Linked DNA regions of Macaca mulatta. The main gene of each other region encodes a partner of the protein of the gene in region 3 in a complex. Links are inferred from orthologs where the notes say so. Each region holds a gene or a part of one and is shown on either strand. Other genes may lie near its edges. The genes, in order: MTOR, PDE6D and RHEB.

The links.
Region 1: the proteins of RHEB (region 3) and MTOR are in contact, whole or in part, in a cryo-EM structure (PDB 6BCU), measured with the Homo sapiens proteins. The link is inferred for Macaca mulatta from reciprocal best matches to the Homo sapiens genes RHEB and MTOR. Residues at the interface, in NP_005605.1 of Homo sapiens: Lys5, Ser6, Arg7, Lys8, Arg15, Pro37, Ile39, Glu40, Thr42, Gln57, Ala62, Asp65, Tyr67, Ile69, Gln72, Thr73, Ser75, Ile76, Asp77, Asn79, Asp105, Met106, Val107, Gly108, Lys109, Val110, Ile112; in NP_001373429.1 of Homo sapiens: Arg62, His69, Glu73, Ala101, Thr102, Ile104, Gly105, Arg106, Asn109, Tyr110, Arg112, Asn113, Phe140, Glu143, Tyr144, Phe147, Glu154, Arg160, Thr969, Gln973, Phe977, Lys980, Glu1010, Phe1011, Gln1014, Met1018, Ser1050, Thr1051, Asn1264, Lys1293.
Region 2: the proteins of RHEB (region 3) and PDE6D are in contact, whole or in part, in a crystal structure (PDB 3T5G), measured with the Homo sapiens proteins. The link is inferred for Macaca mulatta from reciprocal best matches to the Homo sapiens genes RHEB and PDE6D. Residues at the interface, in NP_005605.1 of Homo sapiens: Pro2, Gln3, Ser4, Gln57, Asp77, Gln176, Gly177, Lys178, Ser179, Ser180, Cys181; in NP_002592.1 of Homo sapiens: Ile53, Leu54, Cys56, Val59, Val80, Gln85, Cys86, Leu87, Glu88, Glu89, Trp90, Ile109, Glu110, Ala111, Ala112, Pro113, Gln116, Met117, Met118, Leu123, Tyr149.

What each region holds. Positions count from the first base shown.
Region 1 is NC_133406.1:229,468,085-229,477,565, forward strand, and holds the start of MTOR (serine/threonine-protein kinase mTOR), read left to right. Parts: upstream 1-2,952; 5' UTR 2,953-3,059; intron 3,060-3,396; 5' UTR 3,397-3,489; intron 3,490-5,751; 5' UTR 5,752-5,790; coding exon 5,791-5,952; intron 5,953-6,605; coding exon 6,606-6,714; intron 6,715-8,008; coding exon 8,009-8,241; intron 8,242-8,981; coding exon 8,982-9,182; intron 9,183-9,481. UniProt on the Homo sapiens protein: Serine/threonine protein kinase which is a central regulator of cellular metabolism, growth and survival in response to hormones, growth factors, nutrients, energy and stress signals.
Region 2 is NC_133417.1:137,042,617-137,052,180, forward strand, and holds the start of PDE6D (retinal rod rhodopsin-sensitive cGMP 3',5'-cyclic phosphodiesterase subunit delta), read right to left. Parts: upstream 6,026-9,564; 5' UTR 5,831-6,025; coding exon 5,781-5,830; intron 1-5,780. UniProt on the Homo sapiens protein: Promotes the release of prenylated target proteins from cellular membranes. Modulates the activity of prenylated or palmitoylated Ras family members by regulating their subcellular location.
Region 3 is NC_133408.1:190,939,221-190,948,906, reverse strand, and holds the start of RHEB (GTP-binding protein Rheb), read left to right. Parts: upstream 1-3,734; 5' UTR 3,735-3,785; coding exon 3,786-3,837; intron 3,838-9,686. UniProt on the Homo sapiens protein: Small GTPase that acts as an allosteric activator of the canonical mTORC1 complex, an evolutionarily conserved central nutrient sensor that stimulates anabolic reactions and macromolecule biosynthesis to promote cellular biomass generation and growth.

The DNA.
Region 1 (9,481 bases), on a different chromosome or scaffold from region 3:
TCCATCTAAAAAAAATAAAAAATAAAAAGTTGTTGATCAGTGAAAATGTAAAGTTTAGAGGAACAGTTATCTCACAGAAGCAATGAAAAGAGGCTAAATCTAAAGTAGCCATTATTACTTGGGAGGCTGAGGCAAGAGAATCGCTTAAACCCGGGAGGTGGAGGTTGCAGTGAGGTGAGATCGCTCCCCTGCACTCCAGCCTAGGTGACAGAGTAAGACTGTCTCAAAAAAAAAAAAAAAAAGTAGCAATTATAATTTTTTTTTTTTTTTTTGAGACAGGGTCTCACTCTGTCAACTCAGGATGGAATGCAGTGGCGAGATCACAGCTCACTGCAGCCTTGACCTCCTGGACTCAAGTGATCCTCCCACCTCAGCCTCCTAAGTAGCTGGGACCACAGGTGCATGCCACCACACCAGCTAATTTTTTGCATTTTTTGTAAGGGTGAGGTTTCACCATGTTGCCCAGGTTGGTCTCAAACTCATGGGCTCACACAATCCACCTGCCTCAGCCTCCCAAAGTGTTGGGTCACTGTGCCTGGCCAATATCATAGGTATTAACAACAACAAAAAAACCCTGCCAAACAAAGCATTTTGTTAGCCACAGAATATTATCAACCATCTTTATTTATTTATTTATTTATTTGAGATTGGGGTCTCACTATGTTGCCCAGGCTGGTCTCAAATGCCTTGGCTCAAGCAATCTTCCTGCTTTGGCCTCCCAAAATGCTGGGATTACAGGTGTGAGCCACTGCACCCAGCCCAACCGTCTTTAATTTGGCAGTTTAGGCCTTCTGAAAACTCATTCCTTCTACCTTCACTTCTTTTTATTACATAAGTAATTGATGATAATGTATAAAGAAAAAGTGTCTTTCCCATTGTGCACATCTCCCCATGTAAACATAGACATATGAGAAAAGCATAAATATTTTTGTAAATGGTTATATTATACTTACATTGTTGTGTAATTTGTAATTTTTGAACTAGTTGTGAACCTTTTCCTTCTTAGCAAATATTCATCTCATTACCACTATTTCTTGTTATTATTATTATTATTGTTATTATTATTTGAGACAGGATCTTTCTCTGCTGCCCAGGCTGCAGTGCAGTGATCACAGATGACCACAACCTTGAAATCATGGACTCAAGTGATTCTCCTGCCTCAGCCTTCCAAGTAGCTGGGACTACAGGCACGTGCTACCATGCACAGCTAATGTTTAAATTTCTTTTGTAGAGATGAGGGTCTCACTATGTTGCTCAGGCTGGTCTGAAACTCCTGGCCTCAAGCAATCCTGCCTTGGCCTCCCAAAGTGCTGGGATTACATGCATGAGCCACCATGATAGGCTCTAAATTGTCATTATTAATGGCTACGTATTTTTCTTATTATGAATGCATTTTTTTTTTTTTTTTTGAGACTGAGTCTTGCACTGTCACCCGGGCTGTAGTGCAGTGGCGTGATCTCAGCTCACTGCAACCTCCACCTGCTGGCTTCAAGCAATTCTCCTGCCTCAGCCTCCCAAGTATCTGTAATTACTGGCGCCTACCACCATGCCCCGCTACTTTTTTTTGCATTTTTAGTAGAGACGGGGTTTCACGAGGTTGGTCAAGCTAGTCTCAAACTCCTGACATCATGATCCGCCGGCCTCGGCCTCTCAAAGTGCTGGGATTACAGGTGTGAGCCACCGCACCTGGCTGAATGCATCATATTTTACTGGACTCCTACTTTGAAGTATTTAGGAATTTTCAGTGTTTACTATGACAAATAGCACTGTGATTAAAAAAAAAAAGAAGAAATGTAGTCAAATCCACTTTTGCTATTGATTTCTTTTTTTTTTTTTTCCAATTTGTAGAGACATTGTCTCACTATTTGCCCAGGCTGGTCTGGAACTCCTGGCCTCAAGCGATCCTTGTGCCTCAGCCTCCCAAAGTGCTGGGATTACAGGTGTGGGCCACTGTGACCAGCAGCTATTTATTTTCTTTGGTATGTATGTATGTATGTATGTATGCATGCATGTATGTATTCATTGAGACGGAGATTTCTCAGTCGCCCAGGCTGGAGTGCAGTGGCACGATCTCAGCTCACTACAACCTTTGCCTCCCGGGTTCAGGCGATTCTCGTGCCTCAGCCTCCCGAGTACCTGGGATTACAGGCGTGCGCCACAATGCCCACCTAATTTTTGTATTTTTAGTAGAGACGCGGGAGAGTTTCACCATGTTGGCCAGGCTGGTCTCGACTCCTCCTGACCTTAAGTGATCCGCCCGCCTCGGCCTCCCAAAGTGCTGGGATTACGGGCGTGAGCCACCGCGCCGGGCCAGCTATTGATTTTTGAAACGATTAAAAAAATATAATGTTTCTTTGAAAATTTTTATTTATGAGTAGCTCTTTTGGTTAAAACTTGGCTATGGTTTCTCTGGAATGATCCTGAATTGGATAATTTTGGGAAAGTGAGAAAATCTAATTAAAAACATTTTCAAATGCTTATTAAATGTAACAAAAGAGAAATCATAGGATCCATAAAGAGCGCTAGCCCGAAACGTCTTCTGATGCAGTAATTCCTGGGCGCCAGCATTGCTCACACTCTCCTCTCAGAATTAACACCGGGAGGGGTCGCGAACCTCTGCTAGCCGCTCTTGGTGCGATCCGGAGGTACCCAGACAGCGGACTCCCTGAGTTCACAGCCCGGATGCAGAGGGGAATCCTAGCAGCGCCGCACCGGATGTATGAGTGGAAGTGACTGAGGTCAACTCACGACCGATTGGTTCTCCCGAGTGGACCCAAGCCTGTTTTCAGCTGTCACTGGCCGCGTGGTTTGTCTATTTGAATAGTCCCCGCCCCCTGGAGAAGCCGGGTCCTGAAGCTCCACTTCTTCTTCATTACTATTGGCCTGTTTTTCAGTCCATCTTCTTCCTGTACGTGTCGATTGGTCCTCAGGGCTAGGAACCCTCCTTCCCTCGCTCCCGGTTTAGAGGACAGCGGGGAAGGCGGGCGGTGGGGCAGGGGGCCTGAGGCGGCGGTAGCGGTGCTGGCGGCGGCAGCTGAGGCGTTGGCCGAAGCCGCACGGTGAGTCTAGGGCCTGGAACGACCCCTCTGAGGCGGCGTAATGTCCAGACCTACGGCCAACCTGCCCGTGGGGGGGCAGGGGAAGCCGCCCGTCTGGGACGTGGGGTCCCCACACTGCCGGCCCCACGACCTGGGCACCGTCTGAGCCCTTGAGTCCCACCCCTCGAGGCAACGCCCACCTCCCCGGGACCCCCAAGAGACCCCTGCACCCTTCGGCCCGCGGTACGTCCGCCCGAAGGCCGGTCCATCAGCTCTGGTACTGCCCTTTGGGTCTTTTGCCCGTTACAGCCACCCTTTTTTCTGAGCCACGTACAAAAATTTTGTATCTCTGCCCCAGGGAACACCAGCGTCCGTGTCAGCCCCTTATCCTCCACCGTGGACACTTCTCAGAGACCCAGTCACCGAAACTGAGCTCGGTTACATCGTTGGGGTACATCCTCTCGCCTTCTCCCCCAGCCCCATCCCTGTTTCTCCCATCCAATTTTAACTTACTTAAGCCCTATCAAGACCCTTAGGATGTTTGACTTCAGATATCCTAAGTTTAATTGAATTCAGCCTGGAGCAGATGGCCTGTGGGCCTCAGACCATATGAAGTTACACTGGTTCCTTCCTGAGCCTTTCCTTGCTAGCCTCCTTCCCCCCTTTCATACACACACACATACACACAAACTGGAGTAGTTTTCTTAGTAGGGATTCTTAAGTTTCTTCTCCCCTAAAGGATGACATTTCTTTCTGCAGTCTTCTTCTTGGCACTGGAGTATTTGAAAGCTTTTCAAAACCAATTATTCCCTGTTTTTCCTCTGTGCCTTACAAATTGGTTCAAAAATAAGAATTTTGAGAAATTGGTTTTGTAGCATAAGCTGAACATACTTAGGATAGGTATATGTTCCACCCATAGCAGTGTGGGCATAATTGAGGAATGAAGGAATGATCTCAGAAACTAATTGGTTTCTTTTAGCTTACATTTGAAGTGCTAGTCCCCTGTAGAACTGCATTGTTCAGTACAAGAACCACCAGCCACATGTGGCTGTAGAACACTTGAAATGTGACTAGTTCAGGTGGCTCACACCTGTAATCCCAGCACTTTGGGAGGCCAAGGCGGGTGGATCACCTGAGGTCAGGAATTTGAGACCAGCCTAGCCAACATGATGAAACCCCATCTCTACTAAAAATACAAAAAAAATTAGCCAGGTGTGGTGCTGCACATATGTAGTCCCAGCTACTTGGGAAGCTGAAGCAGGAGAATCATTTGAACCCAGGAGGTGGAGGTTGCAGTGAGCCAAGATCACGCCACTGCACTCCAGCCTGGGTGACGGAGAGCAAGACTCTGTCTCAAAAAATAAATAAAAGTGACTAGTCCAAATTGACATTGTCGTAAGTGTAAAATGCACATTAGATTTTGAAGACTCGCTACAAAAAAAGAATGGACACTATATCAATTTTTAAAATATTGATAACATGTTGAAATGATATTTTGGATATATTAGTTTAAGTAATTAATTTCACCTGTTTCTTTTCACCTTTTAAAATATGGCTACCAGCAGCTTTAAAATTACATTTGTGGATCACTGTATTTCCTCTTTTTTTTTTTTTTTTTTCAATTGGGATGGAGTTTTGCTCTTGTCGCCCAGGCTGCAGTGCAATGGCGCAATCTTGGCTCACTGCAACCTCCGCCTCCTGGGTTCAAGTGATTCTCCTGCCTCAACCTCCCAAGTAGCTGGGATTACAGGCACGCACTGCCATGCCTGGCTAATTTTGTATTTTTGGTAGAGATGGAGTTTCACCATATTCCCCAGGCTGGTCTCAAACTCCTGACCTCAGGTGATCTGCCTGCCTTGGCCTCCCGAAGTGCTGGGATTACAGGCGTGAGGCACTGTGCCTGGCCTATATTTCTATTAGACAATGCTGCTGTGGAATAATAATCTCTCTTTTTAGACTGAACTTGAGCAAAGGGGCAGTCTTAGTCATTTTTGATTCTTTCCCTACCTCCCCACATTTGTTACCTGGCACTGTGCCGTGTACATAGTAGTAGTAGTAATAATAATAGCTAACAATTATTAAGAACTCAGTATATGCCCTGCACTGTTTTAAATACTTTTTGACATGTATTAACTCATTTAGTCCTCACATCAACCCATGAACTAGGTACTATTATCTTCCTATTGTAGTTGAAGAAACATTTTTAGTGTCTTTCTCAAGGTATATAACCTTGTTTTTGTTTTCGTTTGTTTTTGTTTTGAGACAGTGGAGTGGCAGGATCTTGGCTCAGGGCAACCTCCACCTCCCAGGTTCAAGTGATTCTCCTGCCTCAGCCTCCCGGGTGGCACATGCCACTACGCCCAGCTAAGTTTTGTATTTTTAGTAGAGATGGGATTTCACCATGTTGGCCAGGCTGGTTTCGAACTCCTGACCTCAGGTGGTCCTCCTGACTCGGCCTCCAAAACTGCTCAAGGTATCTAACCCAAGGATTCAAACCCAAGTAGGCTAGCTCCCATAGCCCGCAATTTGACCCTCCCTACCACACTGCCTCTTTTAAACATCAGTCATTGTTTAATGAATCTAGGCTTTCTAAATGTTCCTCAATAAGATCTCTCAACCTTTTTAGAATCCCCTGCCTGACAAGGGCTTGGGGGAGATCTGTGTTGGATGACCAGGGCCATAAGTAAATTTATCACCATACTTTCTTGTTCAGAATATTAAAGGAAACTTCTCTAAAGAACCTCAGGGCAAGATGCTTGGAACCGGACCTGCCGCCGCCACCACCGCTGCCACCACATCTAGCAATGTGAGTGTTCTACAGCAGTTTGCCAGTGGCCTGAAGAGCCGGAATGAAGAGACCAGGGCCAAAGCTGCCAAGGAGCTCCAGCACTATGTCACCATGGAACTCCGAGAGGTGCTTCTGCGATTTGGGGCCAGTCATTGTGGGATGTTTGGGCTAAATGTATCATCACTGGTTTAGACTTTTTTTGGACAGCTAAGCGAGGATTTGGAAAACAGAGATTATTTTAGAAAGGCACTCAACCTCTCACATCCATAAAACATGCAGGTTCTTTTGCAGCAGTTGCACATTTCTGTGGCATTTTTCTTGTTTGTGGTCACATTTTAGGGGCCAGAATAGACTTAGCTGTTTCTTTTAGCTTTTTCTTTTTTCCTTACCACATACCACACCCTCAAATGCTTTCTGTCTGATAACAGTGATTGGGATGGGTTTGGAGAGTTGAGAACTAGGGACTTTCTAAATAGAGACCAGACTTGAGGTCAGAGACAGTATCTTGTTTATCCTTGTATCCCTGGTACTAGAAAGAACCTAGGACAGAACATTTTCTGCCACAGAGTAGATACCCAATAAATATTTGTTAAATAATCAGAGGATTGCAAGTTCAGGTGCTCTACAGTGTAATCCTGTAGAAGTGGGCAGTAGCTTGTCTTCTTTGGTTTGAACTATACTGTCTGCCTCTCAGGATCTAATCTTTAGATGCCAGCCCACTCCCACCACCACAGTCAGAGAATTACTAGAAATTGTTCTGATTATATCTTCTTTTGCAGATGAGTCAAGAGGAGTCTACTCGCTTCTATGACCAGCTGAACCATCACATTTTTGAATTGGTTTCCAGCTCAGATGCCAATGAGAGGAAAGGTGGCATCTTGGCCATAGGTAAGGACAGAGTCTCTGGCCACAAAAACAACACACTCACCTTTGTGCCCATTGCACCCTGTGTCTGCCACTTACTGGATGCTAGTTCATATTTGCTTAATGAAATTTAAGAAGCCTGTGGCATTTAATTCTAGCAGCAGTCCTGGGCTACAGGAAAAACGTATTTTTAGATGTGGAGGTGGAGTCTCAGAACCATTGAGTGACTTTTCAGACAGTTTACCAGAGCTGAGACTGGAAGCCAGCTTTCTTTCCCCTCCTTCATGTTGCGTTTTGTGGGCTCTGGTTCCTCAGTAGAGCAGGGTTTTGCATAGTGGGGCTCACGAATGGAAAAGTGGAATCGGTATAGTTAATAAAAAGCAGGTCTCTTTTTTTTTGAGATGGAATCTTACTCTGTTGCCCAGGCTGGAGTGCAGTGGTGCAATCTTGGCTCGTGGCAACCTCCGCCTCCTGGGTTCAAACGATTCTCGTGCCTCAGCCTCCCGAGTAGCTGGGATTACAGGCACCTGCCACCATGCCCGGCTAGTGTTTGTACTTTTAGTAGAGACAGGGTTTCACCATGTTAGGCAGGCTGGTCTCGAACTCCTGACCTCGAGTGATCTGCCCACCTCAGCCTCCCAGAGTGCTGGGATTACAGGTGTGAGCCACCACACCTGGCCAGGCAGGTCATTTTTAACTTCTAAGGACTGGTCATCAGTCCTGTGAATTATTATCCAGTCTCACTTGCTTTCCCTTTTTGGGGGACTAGGGGGGAAAATTATACTAGCATAAGATTATTTTGCTGTATGTAAATATTTCTGGCATAAGTATTAAATATCTGGGTTAAAATAAAAATTGTGTCCTTGCCCTCTAGAAGTGTACTCAAAGTAGAATGGAGGGATCACTTGCCAGCTTTTTTTTCTTTTTTTTTTTCCTGAGACAGAGTCTTGCTCTGTCACCCAGGCTGGAGTGCAATGGCGCAATGTCGGCTCACTGCAACCTCCGCCTCCCGGGTTCAAGCAATTCTCTTGCCTCAGCTTCCCAAGTAGCTGGGACTACAGGCGCATGCCGCCACACCCGACTAATTTTTTGTTGTTGTTGTTGTATTTTAGTGGAGAAGGGGTTTCACCATATTGCCCAGGCTGGTCTCGAACTCCTGAGCTCAGGCAATCCGCCCACCTTGGCCTCCCAAAGTGCTAGGATTACAGGCTTGAGCCACTGCGCCTGGCCAGCACTTGCCAGCTTTTAGTTGAAGTCTGTGTACTTTCCTGGTCAGCCTATGCCCCATCATCACCTTTTGCCTTCCTCTCTTTTCCAGCCAGCCTCATAGGAGTGGAAGGTGGGAATGCCACCCGAATTGGCAGATTTGCCAACTATCTTCGGAACCTCCTCCCCTCCAATGACCCAGTTGTCATGGAAATGGCATCCAAGGCCATCGGCCGCCTTGCCATGGCAGGAGACACTTTCACCGCTGAGTATGTGGAATTTGAGGTGAAGCGAGCCCTGGAATGGCTGGGTGCTGACCGCAATGAGGGCCGGAGACACGCAGCTGTGAGTGCCTGCAGGGAGGAGCACAGCCAGGCTTGGGGAGCGATGGTGTCATGGTGGGGTCTTTTGCTTCCTTCTGAGGCTCATCCCTGAAAAAGGCTGGTTAGAAGGGCTAGGATTCCAGGCTGTGAGATGGGGTAGAGTCCGTCCTTAAGAGAGAATCTAGCAGTGGTGTGGTAGGGATCAGAAGCATCAGCCGCATGCTTTCCAGTCTGCTGCCCTTCAGAGGAGGCAGTACTGTGAGGCGGGGGCATGGTACCAGGAGAAGGACACACACTTGGACCCTGGCTCAAGTCTTGGCTTTACAACTTCCTACCTAACTCTGTAACCTGGGGCAGCTTCTGACCTTCAGTTTCTTCCTCTGTCAAATAAAAATAACAACAAGATTAAACATTAAACAGGATTATCCATTCAATAATTGTTTACTACATACCTACAGTATTCCAGGTAGAGTTCTATGCTATTAGTATAGTGATATAGAAAGCATAAAACACATCTGCACTTCCAGAGCTTATATTCAAACATTACAAGCATTCTGTGTTTGTAAACAACTTAGGATAATGACCACTGAGATGTTTAATCAAATTTACTTTCTTCCTCTGTCCCCAGAATTTCCTAGCTGGAAGAGTGAGCAAGCCTTCTCTGTTCCTAGTGTGTATGGCTCTAAGATGATAAAAGACCGTACTCCTGAGAGAACAAAGCACTGGTACCGACGAGAGTTCTCGGTTTGTCTTTTTCTCCAGGTCCTGGTTCTCCGTGAGCTGGCCATCAGCGTCCCTACCTTCTTCTTCCAGCAAGTGCAGCCCTTCTTTGACAACATTTTTGTGGCCGTGTGGGACCCCAAACAAGCCATCCGTGAGGGAGCTGTGGCCGCCCTTCGTGCCTGTTTGATTCTCACCACCCAGCGTGAGCCGAAGGAGATGCAGAAGCCTCAGTGGTACAGGGTGAGGAGATGGGTCCATTCCCAACACTAGGAAAGCACGTCTACATAGAGAATCACCTGGCCTAAGGGGCAGCCACAGGCCCTTGCTATGGAGCAAGCATCAGTTTTTGTTTTGGTCTCAAATGAATTTTTTTTTTTTTTTTTTTTTTTGAGCTGGATTGCCCAGGCTGAAGTGCAGTTGCACAATCTCAGCTCATCGCAACCTCTGCCTCTCGGGTTCAAGCGATTCTCCCACCTTAGCCTCCCGAATAGCTAGGACTACAGGCGTGTACCACCACGCCTAGCTAATTTTTGTCATAG
Region 2 (9,564 bases), on a different chromosome or scaffold from region 3:
TTATTATTATTATTTTAGACAAGGTCTCACTCTGTTACCCTGGTTGGAATGCAGTGGGGCACAATCTTGGCTCACTGCGACCTCCACCTCCCAGGCTCAGGTGATCCCCTCACCTCAGCCTCCCAGTAGCTGGGACCACAAGTATGCGCCACCACACCTGGCTAATTTTTGTGTGCGCTTTTTTTTTTTTTTTTTTTTTTTGTAGAGGCAGGCTCTTGCCATGTTGCCCAGGCTGGTCTCAAACTTCTAGGCTCAAGCTATCCGCCACCTCGGCCTCCCAAAGTGCTGGGATTACAGGCATGAGCCACTGCACCTGGCAGATAGTCTATTATTTTAACAAGGTTGAGCATTTCCTCATTTATTCATTGGTCATCTGCTTTTTTCTTCTAGGAACTGCTTGTTCATATCCTTTGTCCATTTTGAGTTAAATGCTTATCGTATTGATTTGTAGGCAGCCAAGCCATTTATATTCTGGATATTATAATATCTGAAGTATAAATAAATGAATTAAATAAATAAATGGAGACAATAAGCTAATATTTAAAAAAAGCTACATTACTACTCTATATCTTATACCAAAGAAAATTCCAGATGGATTAAAGATAATGAAATCATAAAAGCATAATTCCTTCTCATGGAAGTCTGTCAGTTTCTTGTTAATTTAATAAAGTAATATTTTTATGTTGATGAAAAAGCTATTCAAATAGGCAAAACAGTGGATACAGACCATACTAGAAAGCTGGTATAAGAGTACTGTGACAAATGCTGGGCGCAGTGGCTCACGCCTGTAATCCCAGCACTTTGGGAGGCCTGAGGTCAGGAGTTTGAGACTAGTCTGGCCAACATGGAGAAACCCCGTCTCTACTAAAAATACAAAAATTAGCCGGGCGTGGTGGTGGATGCCTGTAATCCCTGCTACTTGGGAGGCTGAGGCGGGAGAATCGCTTGAACCCGGAAGGCAGAAGTTACAGTGAGTCGACATTGCATCATTGCACTCCAGCCTGGGCAACAACAGTGAGACTCCATCTCAAAAAAAAAAAAAAAAAAAAAAAAAAAAAGAGTACTGTGACAAATCTGTCAGTGAAAATAACTGAAAGTAATTATCTTTGGAAATCATAAACATGGTAAATCTATTATTAAGTGAACAAAGTAAGTTACAAAGTGATATTTACTATTCCGTTTTTATAAAAAACACATTAAAAATTAGCTACATTAGAAGGCTATATTAAATAATACTTACAAAAGTGACTCTAGGTAGCTGGAGTTTGTAATAGGAAAATTAAATAGAATTTTAAAAAATGCATTGCTTTTGAAGATATTCCTTTTACACAGACATAAAGCTGGTTAAGCTTCTGGAAAGAAGGGACTGTAAGTCATTCATTTTTGTATCCTTTAAGTGTAGAGTGCCCTATACATAACAGTCACCCAACAGACCTTTGTTGAAGAAAAGAAACGGGAAACGTGGGATTTACAAACATCAATCTCTATGTCAGCTGCTTAAAATCAAATCCAAAATATTTGCAGGAGAATCATATTGTTCCCCAAGTAACATTTCATTCATAACATTAATTTACAATTAGGAAATGTTATGCTTTTAACAAACAAGAAAGAAATGTAAGGTTCTTAATGTGTATGAGAGCCTTGCATTTCTTGAGAGGTAGTATAGCGCCACAGTCCAGTATAGCTCTTAAACCACTATGCTATATTACCTTTTATGGATCTAGGGATCCAGGAAAATACAAATTCAAACAAGGTATCATGTGTTGTCCAAACTGGCAAAAATAAAAAAGATTGACCTAGTCAACGTGGAAAACTGAGTACTATCAACACTGTTGGTGGGAGATCATAATGGTGCTCTTTTTGTAGTGATAAACTCTTCTCACAAAAACAGATACTCTGAAAGAGGTAGGGTGAGATGGGGTGAAGGTGATATGAGAATAAAATCTTGTAAGATTTTGTTTTTGAAACAACTGATGGCAAATACAAAGGCTTATACTGAATTCACTCAGACCATGCCTGATTTATGCATCACTCTTACGGAGTATCTTTAAATTTTTTTTTTTTTAGAGTTGGGGGTCTCACTATGTTGGCCAGGTTGGTCTTGAACTCCTAGCCTTGAGCCATCCTCCCACCTAGGCCTCCCAAAGTGCTGGGATTACAGGTGTGAGCACCATGCCCAGCCAAGTCCTCATGTTTCTATCTACTATGGGCATATGGCAAGCTTCTATGTGAATAAAAGGGGCATAAATATTTATAGGGACCTTAAACACACATATTATGTTAGTCACAGACCAATCCTATTGTAAACTGTACTAAATCACATCATAAAGCTATAATAATTCAACCAAATGTGTATAGGCACAAGAAGAGACAAATAGATCAATGAAAGAGAAATAATCAAAAAATAAACCTACGTCTTATGAAAATTTAGTATATGACAAGGATGGCATTTCAAAACAGTGAGGAAAAGACGGACTTAGTACTTAGTACTGGAACTACTGGCTATTCAAACAGCAGAAGTACTTAGATATCTACCCTATACCAAATGTATAAATACGTTCCAGGTGGATTAAAGAGCTAAACATTAAAAAGAGAAGAAAAGATAGGATATTTAGTTAATCTTGGGATAAGAAAGATCTTTTTAAACAAGATACAAAATGCAAAAGCCAGACGGCAAATATTAATAAACTTGAGGCCAGGCACGGTGGCTCACGCCTATAGTCCCAGCACTTTGGGAAGCAGAGGTCAGGCGGATCACGAGGTCACGAGTTTGAGGACAGCTTTGCCAACATGGTGAAACCCGTCTCTACTAAAAATACAAAAATTAGCCGGGCATGGTGGCATGTGCCTGTAATCCCAGCTACTCAGGAGGCTGAGGCAGGAGAATTGCTTGAACCTGGGAAGCGGAGGTTGCAGTGAGCCAAGATTGTGCCACTGCACTCCAATGTGGGCAACAGACCGAGACTTCATCTCAAACAAATAAAATAAATTTGAAATGACAATTTTAGAATTCTGTTCAACAAAAAAGGAGACAATACATTGAAAGAAAATATTTGCAAAATATATAATAGGCAAAGGATTGATATTACAATATGTAAAGAACATCTACAAATAAGAAAAATAAACAATTTAATAGTAAAATGGGCAAAAACAAAATTAACAATTTACAGAAGAAAAAGAAATGGCCAAATAGAGATGTGCAACTTATCTAATAACAACAAGAATAACACTAGCTAAAGCATAATGCTTACTGTAGATCAGGTGCTTTTCTAAATGCTTTAGATATCAACTCATTTACTCTCAAAGCCCCATGCGATAGGTAGTATACTATTATTTTCTGCATTTTACAGATAAGAAAATTGAGGCAAGGTTAAAGCAGTTGCTCAGGGACACACAACTAGGAGTGCAGGGCTGGAATTCCAATGCAGGCAGTATAGCGACATAGTCCAGTATAGCTCTTAACCACTATGCTACATTACCTTTTCATGGATGTAGGGATCCCAGGAGAATACCAATTAAAACAATATATCATTTGTTATCTAAACTGGCAAACAAAAAAGACCGACCTAGTCAATGTGGAAAACTGAGTACTATCAACACTGTTGGTGGGAGAACATAATGGTGCTCTTTTTGTAGTGATAAACTATTCTTACAGAAACAGATACTCTGAAAGAAAGTTCGGAAAATCTATTTACCCAATAAAAGGTAGACAATAGTCAGTTTCTTACTAAAACATTAATTTTACTTTTTCCTGAAGGTAGTAGCATATCTTAACATTCCTGCTTTTCTTTTCCCTCTTACTCCACAAATGCCCAATAAAGGCTACCAGAGGATGAGCACGCCACTGCTCTCATGCTAACTTTTTGATGTGGCTGCTTCCCTGGTGCTTCAGGATTTAATCAGCTCAGGTCAAGCTTTCCCCGAAAGCCTGTTTCTGGATGCACTAACATCACTGAATTGGTTGATTCGCTTTTCCTTCTAGTGGGCTGACACAGATTCTGCTTTCTGAAACTCTTTTCCGTATTTGTCTCTTATCCTCTTTCTTAACAGGTTCAAGAGCCAAGACTGAAGGTGAGAAGCTCAAACTTTTCTGCTTTGTTCAAAAGCCATTAAAAAGGTATTTCTTCTTTTCAGCAATATGGTATTTCCAATCAGATGAAAACGTTGCTTCTGAAATCTCTCAGTTCTCCATAGTTTCTGGTTTACTGCTTACACAGCATGTTAAGTAACAATATTATTACATTGTTATATGTTAAGTAATAATACAAATTACTTGAGGGAAAAATAAAATTCATGTCATAGCTTTTCCAGCACTTCAGTCATCCCTATATACCTATATGATCCATTATGGAGAGAAACACAGAAAGGCACATGGAGCTCTAAAGAGGCTGCTACTAAATCACTACATGAAAGTACTGAAACTTTATCCTGAATGGTAGTATGCAAAGGTGATACAGCCTTTAGGTTTTTTTAAAAGCCTAGATCAATTTTCACTTGAAAAATCTCACTTGTACATCCAAAACTTCCTTTTTGCACTGTGGTCTAAAATGTATTACCAACTTGGTTTCTGATTATAGCAAAGCAATTAAATTTTGCAAGGGTGACATGGACATTGTGAAAACACAACAGAATATCAAGAAAACAGTGCTTTACTAAACCTCCAAGGGAGGAGTCCTAAAGCGGTGACTACCTTTTCACTGAGGGAGCAGTTTAAGAACGTTCCGTACTATAGATTACAGACAGGATGTATGCAGAGATTAAAGCCGGCAGGAGAATGGAAAATTTGAATATACAAGTTTGCATTTTTTCATCTGCATCATATGGTGACAGACTAACACACTCCACGAAAACACAAAGCTTCCTTACCACATTAAGGAGAGGCTGCAAGAGCGGCATCACAACAGGCCCGAGGCAATGATTTCTCTACCCCACTATCCTACCGTGGCCCCAGCGACATCACACTATTGCTGGACAGCTCCACCACAGCTAGGCATTAACCGCACCAACAGGAGCGAGCAAAGACACCTCGGCTAGGAGCCCCAGCGCGAGGCACCCCACACCTAAGCCTATGGTCCTCGTGTTGCTGGAAAGGAAACTGAGGCGCTGAGGGGGAAGCAGTGACCAATGCCTCAGAAGACCAAGAGTGTTAAGACGAGGTTGATCTTGGACTTCTCTTTCCCCACCTCCCCCAACTACTCTAGCCCTGGAAGAAGCCACAAGTTTGGAAGAGAAGTTGTGGAAACCAGACGGGGGTGGGGTGCGGTGCGGTGGGGGCCCTGAGAGAGTTTTAAAAGCACTGGTATTTGTCCCACACAAGGTCGCCCGCTCCAAGTCACTGTTCCCCGCTCCTCGGGTAGGCTTATAGCCAAAGAGGCTTCTAGACTTTAAGATCAGCCCACCGCGCCCCCTCAGCCCTTCCCTGCGGGCCGCAGCCCCCTCCCGGCCTCTGGGTCCCGGCCGGGGATTGGAACCCAGCCGGTCTCTCCGATAGCGTTTGCGACGCCCGGCACCTCTCGCAGCCCAGTACCCCAAGCTCTTCCGTCCCCACCCGCCACCCCCTGTGGCTCCCGTCAACGTCCCCTTCCTCCCTCAGGACGCCCCTGGGGGCGCTTCTCGCGCCTGGTCCCGCCGGGTGCACGGCACGCTTTTCCTTTCCTCTCCCCTCCCGCAGCCCTTCTTCCGCGGGGCCCACCTGGCGCGGCCCCCGCCCCCGGCCAGTCTCCTCAGTGAGCGGCCGCCTCCCAAGTCCTCCCGGCCCCGCCCCGCTCCCGGGCGGATACAGTTTGAAGCCCCTCAGGATCTCCCTGGCCCGCTCGTCCTTGGCTGACATGATGCGGCGCTAGCCGCCCGCGGCTTTCTCACTCTGGTCGGCGGAGCCTCGCAGACGGTGCCCAGGAGCCGAGGATGGAGCCGCAGCCCGGCTTGGAGACCTCGGGCGAGCAGCCGCAGCGGCCAGACCAGGACCGGCCTCTCTCTCCCCTCAGCTCCCGCTCCTGATCCCTTCTCCTTCCCCCTAGCCTCGCAGTGCCCCCCTGGAACCAATGGAAAGCCAGCTTTGGTGATTGGCATCCCAACCAGCCAGTAGGAGCGCGCTGCGCCTTCGCAGGGGGACTGTTAACGTCAATGGGAAGGGCCCTCCCCGGGAAGTCCCATAGGACACAATATTCATCTGGTGTTATTGCCTAGAGTTTGTCCCAGCGGAGTGTTGGCTTCGGATCTGCAGAGGCTTTAGGGACCTGCTCCCGCAGCTGAGCACACTAGCCATTCGAGACGGCAGCTGGTTGCACTGTGCTACGCGACAGAGACTACATTTCCCAGCATTCCAGCGGCGCACTCGGGGGACTACAGATCCCAGCGCACCACAAAGAGGTCCGGAGACTACAAATCCCAGCATCCTCTGCACTCGGTTCCTCTGTAACTTAGACTCCAGTGTGCCGCGCAGTGTGCGCAAATTCACAAACCCGCCCGCTGAGTTGGTGGTTTCGGAATCCCGAGACTTGAAACCCAGCGGGAAGACCCTTCTCACCGTCAAAAGAAGATGACAGCCCGCAGAGAGTTAACTTCTGTTTACATGGAACTCAGACATCTTCTGCAAATCATGGTAAGGCTGCTAACAACAAACAAAAACACTGATTAAACCGTGAAAGATAACAAAATGACTTCTTCAAATCGTGCTTGTTGGTCTGAGGCGCCTTTTACGTGTTTTTCAGGGGTTTTTGCTGTATTCCTGCTTTGGACCGGGAGAGCTATGGATTGTATACTCAGAATATCAAAACATAAAGGGACTTTGCTAATCTACCCCGTTGTTACGTATGAGGAAATTGAGGCCCAGAGAGGCGAAGGGATTGGCCACAGATCACAGCAAGTTCGGGCAGAGTTAGAATTCAGCCCTAAGTCGGCTGACTTGCAGTCTGGACTCTTTGCACCACACTAAGGAGGTGATATTTTTAGCAGCATAGCAATGTGAATTATTCTCCTTGAACAGTTTTCCTATCCAGTGTTGAAACACCCAGAATTAGGTAGCATTTATTTGGTGGATTTCTTTCAAGTGAGGGAGTGTGATATTTATTTTCAGCCTAGGTAGGACTTGGTGTTTTGTTTTTTGCCACTCAAGGTGACATTTAATGTGATTTCAGGAAGTAGGTAAAATTGCAGTGTGAGCCACGGTTTCCTTGGAAACCTCCTCTGTCCTTCTCTTGGCCTTCCTTCCTCTGCCTGTCCCCTCTTTCACCCATCTGGGAACTCACCCAATTTTTTCTTCCATGTAATTCAATAAATATCTTTTCAGCCTGTTATTTGTCAGGCACTGAGTGGGTAAAAGGTGAAGGACATGGTCACTGCCACCAGGAAGATAAACATCTATTTAGGGAAATAAGGAGACTCCACTGAGATTCAAGATGGAGTGTGATAAAATGGCATAAAAGAAACGACATCAGAATGCTAAGGAGGCCCTGATGAAAAGGTTAATTGCAGCTGGCAAAACTTTAATGGAGAAGGTGGCATTTGGACTTGAAGTTTTTTTCCATGTTAAAAAAGTTTTTTTTTTTTTTTAAATGAGATGTGACATACAGTATGGGAACAATTTTTGCATAGGTATACACCCTTGTCCCCACTACCCAAATCAAGATATGGAACATTTCTAGCACGCCTAGTGCTCCTTCCCAATCAGTATTACCTCCTTACATATTGAGATAATCACTCTTCTGACTGTATCACCATAGATCAGTTTTGTCTGTTCTTGAATTCCAGTTAAATGTAATAATACAGTATGTACAGTATGTGTCTGGCTTTTTTACTTTATCAATATTTTTGTGAAATTCATCCATGTTGTGTGTAGCCTTTTAACTGCTGAATAGTATTCTGTTGTATATATATACCACAATTTACCTTTCCACTGTTGGTGGGCATTTGCGTTGCTATTTTTTGGACTATTACTAGCAAAGCTGTAGCGAGCATTCTTACATGTTTCTTTTTGTAGACACTTGCACCCATTTCTAGGAGAGGAATTGCCGGTGTGTAGGGAGGTTATGCACATGATCAGTGATAGTAGACATTGCCAATTTTTCAAAATGATTGTACCAATTTACGCCTTTGCCAGCAATATGAAAGAGTTCTAGGTGCCTCTTATCCTTGTCAACACAGGATTTTTGTTGTCATTCTTCTTAATTGTAGCCATTCTGGCTGAATGTGGTATCTCATTAAGGTATTTATTTACATTTTTCCTTATGTTGAGCGCCTTTCAATATGCTTGTTGGCTAGTTGAACGTTGTCTTTCCTGAAGTGCCTATTCTTTTCCCAACTTTAAAAAATTGGGCTGTCTTCTTATTGATTTGTAGTTCTTTACCGTCTGGATATAGAGTTCCTTGATACATGCTTTGCAGATATCTTTTCCAAGGCGTGGCTTGTCTTTTCACTCTCTTACTGGTGACTTTTGAAACAAATTATATTTTTGAGGGATGGGGTCTCTGCTATGTTGCCCAGGCTGGAATGCAGTGGCTATTCACAGGCACCAGCATTGCCCACTACAACCTCGAACTCCTGGGATCAAGTGATCCTCCTGTCTCCGCCTCCCAAGTAGCTATAGTAAGACTTTAGGTGTACTCCACTGCATCTGCCAAGCAGAAATTCTTAATTTTAACATAGTGCAATAGTTCCATGTTTTCTATTATGGTTAGTGTTTTTTGCATTGGATTTCAGAAATCCTTGCTTTTAGAGTTGGTAGGTTTTTTACAGGCTAATAAAAGAGCATTCCAAAAAAGAGCAAGCTTGAGCATAGGCCTGGTGTCTGAGAGGGATGGTATAAGTTGTGCCGGGCATGGGAGTTTGGACTGTGAAGGGGGTGGGGTGCGACAAAGCTAGAGGACTTAGGAGGGAGGCACACTTGGAAGGGCTTTCACTGCAGCCATGGGCTGGGTGTGGTGGCTCACACCTGTAATCCCAGCATTCTGGGAGCCAAGGTGGGAGGATCACTTGAGATCAGGGAAGAGCAGCTTCAGCAACATAGAGAGACCCCATCTCTAAAAAAAAAAAAAAAGAATAAATTTGCCAGGTGTGGTGGCCTGCACCTGTAGTCCTAGCTACTTGGAAGGTGGAGGTGGTAGGATCCCTTGAGCCCAGAAGTTCAAGGCTGAGGTGAGCTATGATAGTGCCACTGCACTCCAGCCTGGGTGACAGAGTAAGACTGCGTCTCTTAAGGGAAAAAACCCAAAATACTAAGTCCAAATTGCAGCCATGGAGTCTGGACATTATTCTGGAGGAAGTAGAGGCATTGCTGGAATTTCTATGAAGTCAAACTAAACTCTGTTGTCTTCCTCTCAATCCCATATTTGTCCCTCCTCGTCCATAGCCCTGTTCACTTAACACCAGTTCCAGACAGCTCTGGTCTCCCAGGACAGAATCCTGGGTGTTATGCTCCCTCCCTCTCCTTATATTCAGCTGGTCACCAAGTCTTATAAATTCTACAGTCTAAATGTCTCCAACAGTGTCCCTTCTTTTTCAACCCCAATTGCTACTCCCTTTGTTTTTGTTTGTCTTTTTGAGATGGAGTCTCAATCTGTCACCCAG
Region 3 (9,686 bases):
CACAAAACTCCTTAATGTCTACTTTCATTGGGGTCACCATTTTCCATGTAAAAGAATGTCCTTTTGGTAAAAACAATCATAGCAGTGGTTTTTTACTCTGATCTTAGTGTAACTCAATGGTGGGGGGAAAAAGTTTTGTATGTTATCTCTGGGACGTAAAAAAAACATGTTGGAACTAGAAATCAGATATTGGGCTTGGAAATGCTCATAGAAAGTTAATACAAACCCTGTATCAGACGTCCAAATTTCAAAGAACTTCCATAGCCACCAGCCGTCAGAGGTGTAGGTCAGCAGAGACCCTTCTGGACAATCTACATGCTTAGCATGAGCTCCTCACTCAAGGGATGATGGGAATTAACAGAACTGATGATGTTCTCTTTCTGGAAACTTAACGGAAGACACATGGTTCTTAGTTCACAGGGAAAGGGAACAGAAGTGGAAGTACACACAGAGGAGGCAGCAGGCTTAGGCCTCGAGGAGCAGTCCCGAACAAGCAGGGCCTGCTGAGGAGAAGCTGACTGGTGGCAGCAGACCTTCCTGCTGCTGCAAAGTCAAAGGTGACCGAGTTAGCCACCAATAAGGGAGCTACTTTGAATACAAAAGCAAGTCCATTTCTTCCGACCCTGTTCCTGTCTGGTTGCAGTCAAGTATTTCCATGTGAATTCAGACTGAGTCCCTACTATTTTAGCTAATCTGAGCCATTTCTTTTTTTCTTTTCTTTTTTTTTTTTAAGACAAGGTCTCCCTTTGTCACCCAGACTGAAGTGCTGTGGCGCCATCTCAGCTCACTGCAGCCTCGACCTCCTGGGCTCAAGTGATCCCGCCACCTCAGCCCTCCAAGTAGCTGGGACTACAGGCACGCGCCACCACGTCCGGCTAATTTTTTTGTATTTTTTATAGAAACAGCTTTTCTCCATGTTCCCCAGGCTGGCTAAGTCATTGTTTAAACGAAACAAATTCTCCCCACTCTGGAATAAAAGAATCTTCTAAACCTCTGGATCCTACATTAAAGGGCTTGAAGATAGCAACTGGAACTTTTTTTTTTTTTTTTTTTTTTTTTTTTTAAGACAGAGTCTCGCTGTTTCACCCAGGCTGGAGTGCAGTGGCGCTATCTTGGTTCACTGCAACCTCCGCCTACCAGTTTCAAGCAATTCTGCTGCCTCAGCCTCCCGAGTAGCTGGGATTACAGGTGCCCACCTAATTTTTGTATTTTAGTAGAGACAGGGCTCTACTAAATTTTGCATGCCTGGCTAATTTTTGTATTTTTAGTAGAGACGGGGTTTCACCATGTTGGCCAGGCTGGTCTCAAACTCCTGACCTCGTGATCCACCTGCCTCGACCTCCCAAAGTGCTGGGATTACAGGCGTGAGCCACCGAGCCCGGCCTGGAAAACTTCTTGAATGAGTTTGTCCTTTACGACTGTGCTTCACATCTGGATTACCAATATTCTCAGGCTAGAGTGGTGCTTTCAAACTTTTTGAAGCAGCCCATGGTAAGAAACTTTACAATGAGGCCGGTGCAGTGGCTCACACCTGTAATCTCAGCACTTTGGGAGGCCGAGGTAGGCAGGTCATGAGGTCAAGAGGTCAAGACCATTCTGGCCAACATGGTGAAACCCCGTCTCTATTAAAAATACAAAAATTAGCTGGGCGTGGTGGTGTGCGCCTGTAGTCCCAGCTACTCGGGAGGCTGAGGCAGGAGAATTGCCTGAACACGGGAGGTGGAGGTTGCAGTAAGCCGAGATCACGCCACTGCACTCCAGACTGGCGACAGAGCGAGACTTCGTCTCAAAAAAAGAAAAAAAGGAAACTTTACAATGAATCCCAACATACAATAATACATATATAGCATATCTATAAATATATATACCGACGCATGCACTTACACACACTTACCCTTACTCGTTTTTTTAACTCACCACTGTATTAATGAGGACACATACTTACCCTTACTATTCATAATGCAGTTTTCTATTCTGTTCTATTTTTTTTTAAAAAAGGTGAAACTAAACTGATTTGATAATGCAAGGAGTTTAGTAGCATCTGTTCAAAAACACTGTGGTGAGGATATCCGAATCCACAGGATAAAAACGACACATTTTACAGGAGAGTACAATTTAAGACCTTTAGTTTTAAAACACTTAAAATAACTGTAGCGTAAACCTCAACATTTCATGAAAACATAGAACTTCCAGACATTGATCACTTCCGGCTGGCTGCCTGGGGTTTCCATCTGTAGATCCCCAAGGACAAGAATGCACACCCCAGCCCCTATCGGATGCTTCCGTGGGAAAGCTGGAGGGAGTCGCTCTTGGGCTGGGTGTTCCAATTCGACTCCAGTCACCTCTAAACCTTCCTACGCTGGAATACAAGGCCTGCTACTCAGTTTCCCTGGGCTTCATTCCTCCCTACCGATCACTGGGAAAGGGCGAAGGGCCATGCCCGGCCTCTGCAGGTCCCCACTGCCAAACAGCCTCGGCAGAATAGGGGCGGGTTCCCCGGCGCGGCGGAGCCTCTGCTAACTCGGCAAGTGCCAAGCCCACCAGCAGCCACCACTCCGGGCCTGCCTGGAGGCTCGTCCCTCAACGGCACCTGCGTTCCCGGCCCGGATTCTCTTCCCGCGCCCCTCTGCACTGCACCCCTGGGAAGGCTGTGCCCACACCGCGGCCCGAGGCGTTCCTGGCACCCGGCTCCGGCCTGCCCGCCGCACCAGCCGCCCTGGCGCTGGCGGAGAACCGGCTTCCCGCCCCGGCGTTGTTCCAGGATGTGCGCCGAGCTCCGCGCGAAGCGAAGCAGACACCAGAACTGACGAGGCTCGCCCTGTTTTTAATGAAATTCCTAACACTTTGAATTAACGCAGACTCCATGCTTCCCACAGTCCTTCGGCCGTGGGTGACGCTTAGTCACCACTACATCCTCAAACCCAGACACGAACGCTAACGCAGCTCAAGGGGAATTTTCAAAAAAGCCCCGAGGGAGGAGCTAGCCCAACCACCGCCCGCCCCGGCCACGAGCCTCGCGCCCTTCACGGGCTCAGCGGGCGCGAACCCGCCAACCGCTCAGCTTATCACCAATCACCGCACCTCCCACCTATTGCCCCGCCCTGCGCTCCGTTCCGGCCAATCACCGGGGAGCCACCGTTTGTCTCTCCGCCTCTCCCGCCCGCCCCCAACCGGTTGGAAGTTTGAAGCCTTCAAACCTCGCCGGCGCCCAACCGCGCTGTAGCAGCGCGGTGTATTTTTAGCTCCTGGGTGGCCAGCCCCGCCTCCTCCGCCCCGCCTCCTTGCCTCCCCCAATGGGAGATGGAGTTTCTGACACGTCATCGCGCGGCTGTGCAGGTGCCGTCCAATCGGCGCTCGGGGAGAATGGCGTAATTAAAAAGCGGCGGAAGAAGGTGGGAGGGTCATGACGCAGCGAGTTTCAGTCGTGACTTTTCTGGGGGCATCGCGGCGTCCCCTTTTTTTGCCTTTAAAGTAAAACGTCGCCCCGACGCACCCCCGCGTATTTCGAGGGGGCGGAGGCGGCGGGCCACGGCGCGAGGAGGGGCGGTGCTGACGCCGGCCGGTCACGTGGGTGTGTTGTGGGGGGAGGGGCGCCGCCGCGCGGTCGGTTCCGGGCGGTTGGGAGCGCGCGAGCGAGCGAGCGAGCGAGCTAGAGGCAGCCGCGCCCGCCGCCGCCCCTGCTCTGTATGCCGCTCTCCCCCGGCGCGGCCGCCGCCGATCGCAGCAGCAGGAGCCGCCGCCGCCGCGGTTGATGTGGTTGGGCCGGGGCTGAGGAGGCCGCCAAGATGCCGCAGTCCAAGTCCCGGAAGATCGCGATCCTGGGCTACCGGTCTGTGGGTGAGTGGCCGGTGGTCGCGCGGCCTCCTCGCGCCGCCGGGGCCTCGCCTGGAAGCCGGGTCGCTGCCGGGCCTGCGAAGTTTGGAGCCGGCGCGGCCATGTGGCGGGGCGGGCGGGGGCCGCGCGTTTCGTAACCACCATTTTGAGCGGAGGTGGTGGCGGTCGGGGCGGCGTCCGCACCGGTCGAGGAGCTGCGGTAGCCGGGCGCCCTCCGCGGGCCGGGCGGGCAGGTGGCGGCCGGGCGGAGGGCGTGGGAGGCGCGGGGCGGGGGCCGCCGGCCGCCGAGGAGTCCGGGGCTCGTCTGGGGAAATGAGGCGGCGCCAGGGAGCCGCGCTAGAGGCTCCCGCGAGGAAGGAGTCACACCTGCCTCCCCGCCTTCGCCGCGGGCGCGCGTGACCGGGGCTGGCGGTCTCCCCCACCCCGCCCCCGATGCAAGGAAAAGAAAGTCCGTGGGATTTTAACAAAGGAAGCAGCACCTCGGCTTCATTCCATCTGTGGTGAAGTTTACCCTTGTAAAGAAAACTAGGGACTTAGAGAACGTTTGGTCTCTGGACGCAAGTTTTGTACATAGGAAACCTAGGCGAGCCCCCAAAAGAGGCCCCTCTGGAGGCCCTGGAGATGCTGCTGGCGGCCCGGGTAGGAAGGCAGAGAAAAAGGAATGTCTGATCTCTCAGTGGCCTATATTTCTTCGGGAAGGAATAAGGTCAGGTACTTGCAACCACGCTGTTGAAGTAATTCCGAAGTCTTTTTGTTTTCTTTTTCTTCCCCCAAAAGGTTGACGTACATTTGAAACGGTTCCTAGCGTCGCCTTACTGCTGAATAAGGTGGCTTAGGGTCGGGTTGGGGGGCGGACGGGGTGTCACAGAACAAGCGGTTTTCTGGCCTGTGAGAAACCGGAGCGATCGAACTTAGACACGCTTCAGGGTGAGGCTGTATTGTCTGCCGACATCCGGAAGCCTGGAGAAATTACGTTCATCTTTTCGGGCTGTTTTGAAGTAACTGTCTATAGAAGACGTGCGCCGGGCCACATTTGGGGGGATGGGGAGGTGAAAGCGAGGGTTCAAAGGCTCCGGTGATTGCGGAACGGGGTGACAGCATGTGTCGTGGGAAGCTTGTACCTGCCAGCCGCTCGCGGGATGCACTCCCCAACTGCGCTTTCCACCGCCGGTGCCAGGGTCTGTGCTCTTTGACCAAGATCAGCCACTGCATGCTTACTCATCCTTTTACTACCTCTCCGTCGAGAGCTGGAGGAAGTCAAGGGCTGAGAGAAGCTTGGCTAGAGATGCGGGGTGCCCAGAGTCGTAGGGGGAACTCTTGTGCGATGCGGTGCTGCAGCCAGGAAGTAACCACGAATCAAATGGAGGGGTTCAAAGTCACTAACTGTTCAAATATCTACATGGAACCTGGGATCCAACCTTTATTGGCAGCCTGAATCCATGCTCTTGTCTCTGTTCTCTTGATTTCCTCCTCTGCATTTTGAGGAGTTGGGAGCGCGAGGTGTCCTGGCTCTTGGGTGAGCCCTCCCTAGTCAGTCAAGTAAGTACTTATTGCCAACTATTTGAAAATAGCCCCTGAATAATCACATTATGGTCAAGTACCTCGGCTACTTGATTTCAACCCAAGAGAATGACCTAAAGATCCTGACTGATTTACCCTTTTAAAATGTTGAAATGGTAGCTCTAGTCTTTGGTAAGCAGGGCTAGTTTTATCACTTTTTGGTGGGTTTTTTTTGGTTGTTTTTTTGTTTTTTTGTGTTTTTTTTGCTAAAGAAGTTCCTTGTGTCCAGTTGAAATCCATTCTGTTTTATCTTCCCCTCTATTCAGCTTCCTCCTGAGGACGGAGATGTGACAGGACACCCCTTAGCCGTCTCTTCACAAGCATTATTTTAAAGTGCTGCTTGTTAAATACTGTGCTAACTTAGTCTTCGGTGGGTTACAGGGTCACTTTTAGTCCCTATTTTGTGTCTTCAGTATTTCATATTTCTGCAACCTACCCCACTTCTCCATACTTATTTTCAAGCGTAGTCATATTAAACGATTTTGGAGAGGTTAAGTTGCTCCCAATCTTGTATTTGATTTTTTTTTTTTTTTTTGAGACAGAGTTTGGCTCTTGCCACCCAGGCTGGAGTGCAATGGCGCGATCTTGGCTCACTGCATCCTCCACGTCCAGGGCTCAAGCGATTCTCCTGCCTCAGCCTCCAGAGTAGCTGGCACTACAGGCATGCACCACTACACCCGGCTGATTTTGTATTTTTAGTAGAGACAGGTTTCACCACATGGCCAACCCTCAGGCTGGTCTCAAACACCTGACCTCAGGTGGTCCTCCCACCTTGGCCTCCCAAAGTGCTGGGATTATAGGCGTGAACCACCACACCCAGCCCCATTTGATTTTAAAGTGTATTATGAGCCGGGATATTTTGTAGTTTGTGGGGTCTTTTGCAGGGGAAGGAGATTAGGTTTTGCCAGCAGGTTTCGTCTAGTAAGCCACCCTTTTGAGGATTACTCAGCATGCTCACTTCTGGGAGCTTGCAAATGGTGCTATACCAGAGAAATCTGAGCACATGTGTTTCTAGATTGTGGTCTTTTGTGATGCTGAGCTGTTTTCTCCTATATTCTGGGGGTAGAGCCATAGAAAAAGGCTCCACATCTTTCTTAGAATGTTCTCTTAAGTACATTAAACCAGTTTGACTAGTAGGATACTTGTCATTGTGACTTTGTCATGCCACAAACTTTATTTTTAAAGTTGTCTTCAGCTAAAACAACAAAATGCTATGTTTGTTTTACTAGTTGGCTTTCTCTTTTTTTTTTTTTTTTTTTTTTTTGGAGACAGAGTCTCATTCTGTTACCCAGGCTGGAGCGCAGTGGTGCGATCTCGGCTCACTGCAACCTCTGCCACCTGGGTTCAACCAAGTCTCCTACCTCAGCCTCCCAAGTAGCTGGGATAACAGGCGCCTGCCACCCCGCCCAACTAAGTTTTGTATTTTTATTAGAGACTCGGTTTCACCATCTTGGCCAGGCTGGTCTTGAACTCCTGACCTCGTGATCCACCTGCCTCGGCCTCCCAAAGTGCTGGGATTACAGGTGTGAGCCACCATGCCCAGCCCTCTACTTGGCTTTCAGGTTTTTGTCAGAACTACCAATAGGGAAAATATAATTTTCAGGTAATCTATACAATTCTCCCTCCCAATCTCCTGTACTTTTCCTGTTCTTTACAATGTTAAAGCTTTTAAGGACATGTCACCTGTAACTCTGGGAGTCTGGCTTTCAGGGAGTGCTTTGTATTAACTGTTCCTGTGGTGGCCAAAAGTACCAGCTCCCTGACATTCCGTTGTCTCTACCACAGCAGAGTAGTCCCGCAATAGGAAGTAACTAAACTTAAGTTAAAATGGTAGTGTTACGTAAACTATCTTCAGTCTGGTACGTGTTTCACTGGGATTTTACCTGTACAGAGAGCTTTGGTAACCTAGTTTATCATTAGACCGTAATCAAAAGCTGGTTGTCATATATAAGCCTCTTACATACGGTTAATAAGAGGGGTGGGATCACAGGCATGTGAAAGATCATAGGGGGAAAATGAAACAGCTTTGTGGTTTGGAAGAAGGCAATTCAGCAAAAGTACTCAAATTATTACTTTGTCAAAATGTTTTGGGTAGTATTTAGAGTCTCCATGAGGAAAGATGTCATTAAATATTTGGTTGTTCCTAGCAGATTCTGACGTACTGTTTATTTTTTAAGTTAACCTATCATTTGATGACACTTTTTATTGAAAAATTGAAAGGCAAAACAATATTTGCTATGTATGAAATCTACCAGTATGTGAAATTGTATATTCAGGTGCTTAATATTCTGATGTTGTATACTTGTGGGTGGGGGTAGTCCTGAAGTGGCCACTTTGTATTGAAACTTGAAATTACTGTTTTTCAGTCTTACTCATTGTTCTGCACAAGAGCATAATCCGAATTCAGATTTCTGATTATGACTTTCTAGTGCCAAATGTTATTTTGCTGTCCCTATGGGTTATATCTCTCTGTACTTCATCACCCCAAAAAGAAACTGTACTCATTAGCAGTCACTCTCCATCTTGCTTCCCTATCAGCCCCTGGCAACCACTAATCTTTTTGTTTCTATGAATTTACTTACTCTGGACATTTCATATAAATGAGAACATACATATGTGGTCTTTTGGGTCTGGCATCTTTTACTTAGTATAATGTTTTCAGGTTTTGTCCGTGTTGTAGCATGTGTTGCCGCTTCCTGTTTAGTGCTGACTAATATTCCATCATGTGAGCATACCACATTTTTTCTATGCATTTGTCAATTGGATATGTGGGTGGTTTCTCTCTCTTTTTTTTTTTTTTTGGCTATTATATTTTATTTATTTACTTTTCTGAGGCAGGGTCTTGCTCTGTTGCCCAGGCTAAAGTGCAGTGGAGCTATCATGGCTCACTGCAGCCTCAACCTCCTGGACTCAAATGATCCTCCCACCTCAGCCTCCCGAGTAGCTAGGACTGCAGGTGTGTGACATCACACCCAGCTAGTTTTTTAATTTTTTTGTAGAGGTGGGAACCTTGCTCTGTTGCCCAAGCTGGTCTTGAACTCTTGACCTCAAGCAGTCCTCTCGCCTCAGTCTCCCAGTGTTGGGATTACAGGTGTGAGCCACCACTTGGAGCTCTACTTTCTGGCTACTAGGAATAATAATGCTTTGAACATTCCTGTACAAGCTTTTATGTAGACATATCTTTTCATTTCTCTTGGGTACATTCCTAGGAGTGGAATTGCTGGGTCGTTATGGTTAACTCCGTGCTAAATGTTTTGGAGAACTGTCAAATTGTTTTCCAAAACAGCTGTACGATTTTATATTCCCATAAGCAGTGTATGAGGGTTTAATTTTCTCCACATTCTCATCAACACTTGTTACTGTCTTTTTCATTTTAGCCATCCTAGTGGGTGTGAAGTAGTATCATAGGTTTTGCAAATAATTTCTTCTGTCTGTGGGTTGTCCTTTTACCTTCTCAATGGTGTCCTTTGAAGCAAAAAGTTTTTAATTTGAAGGCCGATATATCTATTTTTCTCCTGTCACTTATGTTTTTGGTGTCACATCTTAGAAGCCATTGCCTAATCCAAGGTCATGTAGATTTACTACTACATTTTCTTTTAGATGTTTTATTCTGTTAACTCTTAACATTAGATCTGTGATCTATTTGTAGTTAATATTTGTATATGATGCCAGAACTTTATTCTTTTGCATGTGGATATCAAATTGCACCAGCTTCTTTTGTTAAAATAATGTTCTTTCTTCATTGAATTCCCTTGTCCAAAATGAAGTGACCATAAATACAAGGACTCACTCATTCCATTGATCTGTATGTCTGTCCTTACGCCAGTACCACACGATCTTGATTACTGTAGTTTTGTAGCTGGTTTTTAAATAGGGGCATATGAGTCCTCTAACTTTATTATTTCTGAAGATGTTTTTGGCTATTCTCAGTTCCTTGCATTTTCACATTGAATTTTAGAACTAGATTGCCAGTTTCTGCCACAAAAGCAACTGCAATTTTGATAGGGTGTTTCACAGTTTTGCAGGTATCTTTTAATGTCTTAACAGCTGGATTCTCATATCTGCTCCTGAATTCATTCCCTTAACGTTATTTTAATGAAGTAAGGAGTACTTGAATAGCTTTTTCAGGTAGCTGAATATTCTTTGATACCAAAACTTCATAAGTGATAGTTTGGAAGAATAGTTACACTGTGCAATCTGAAATCATATTGATGAATTTGCCCAACTCCACAGGTCTGTTTTATACTTGGAATGGATCTTCTACCATACCTGGTTTTGTAGCATCATTGGTC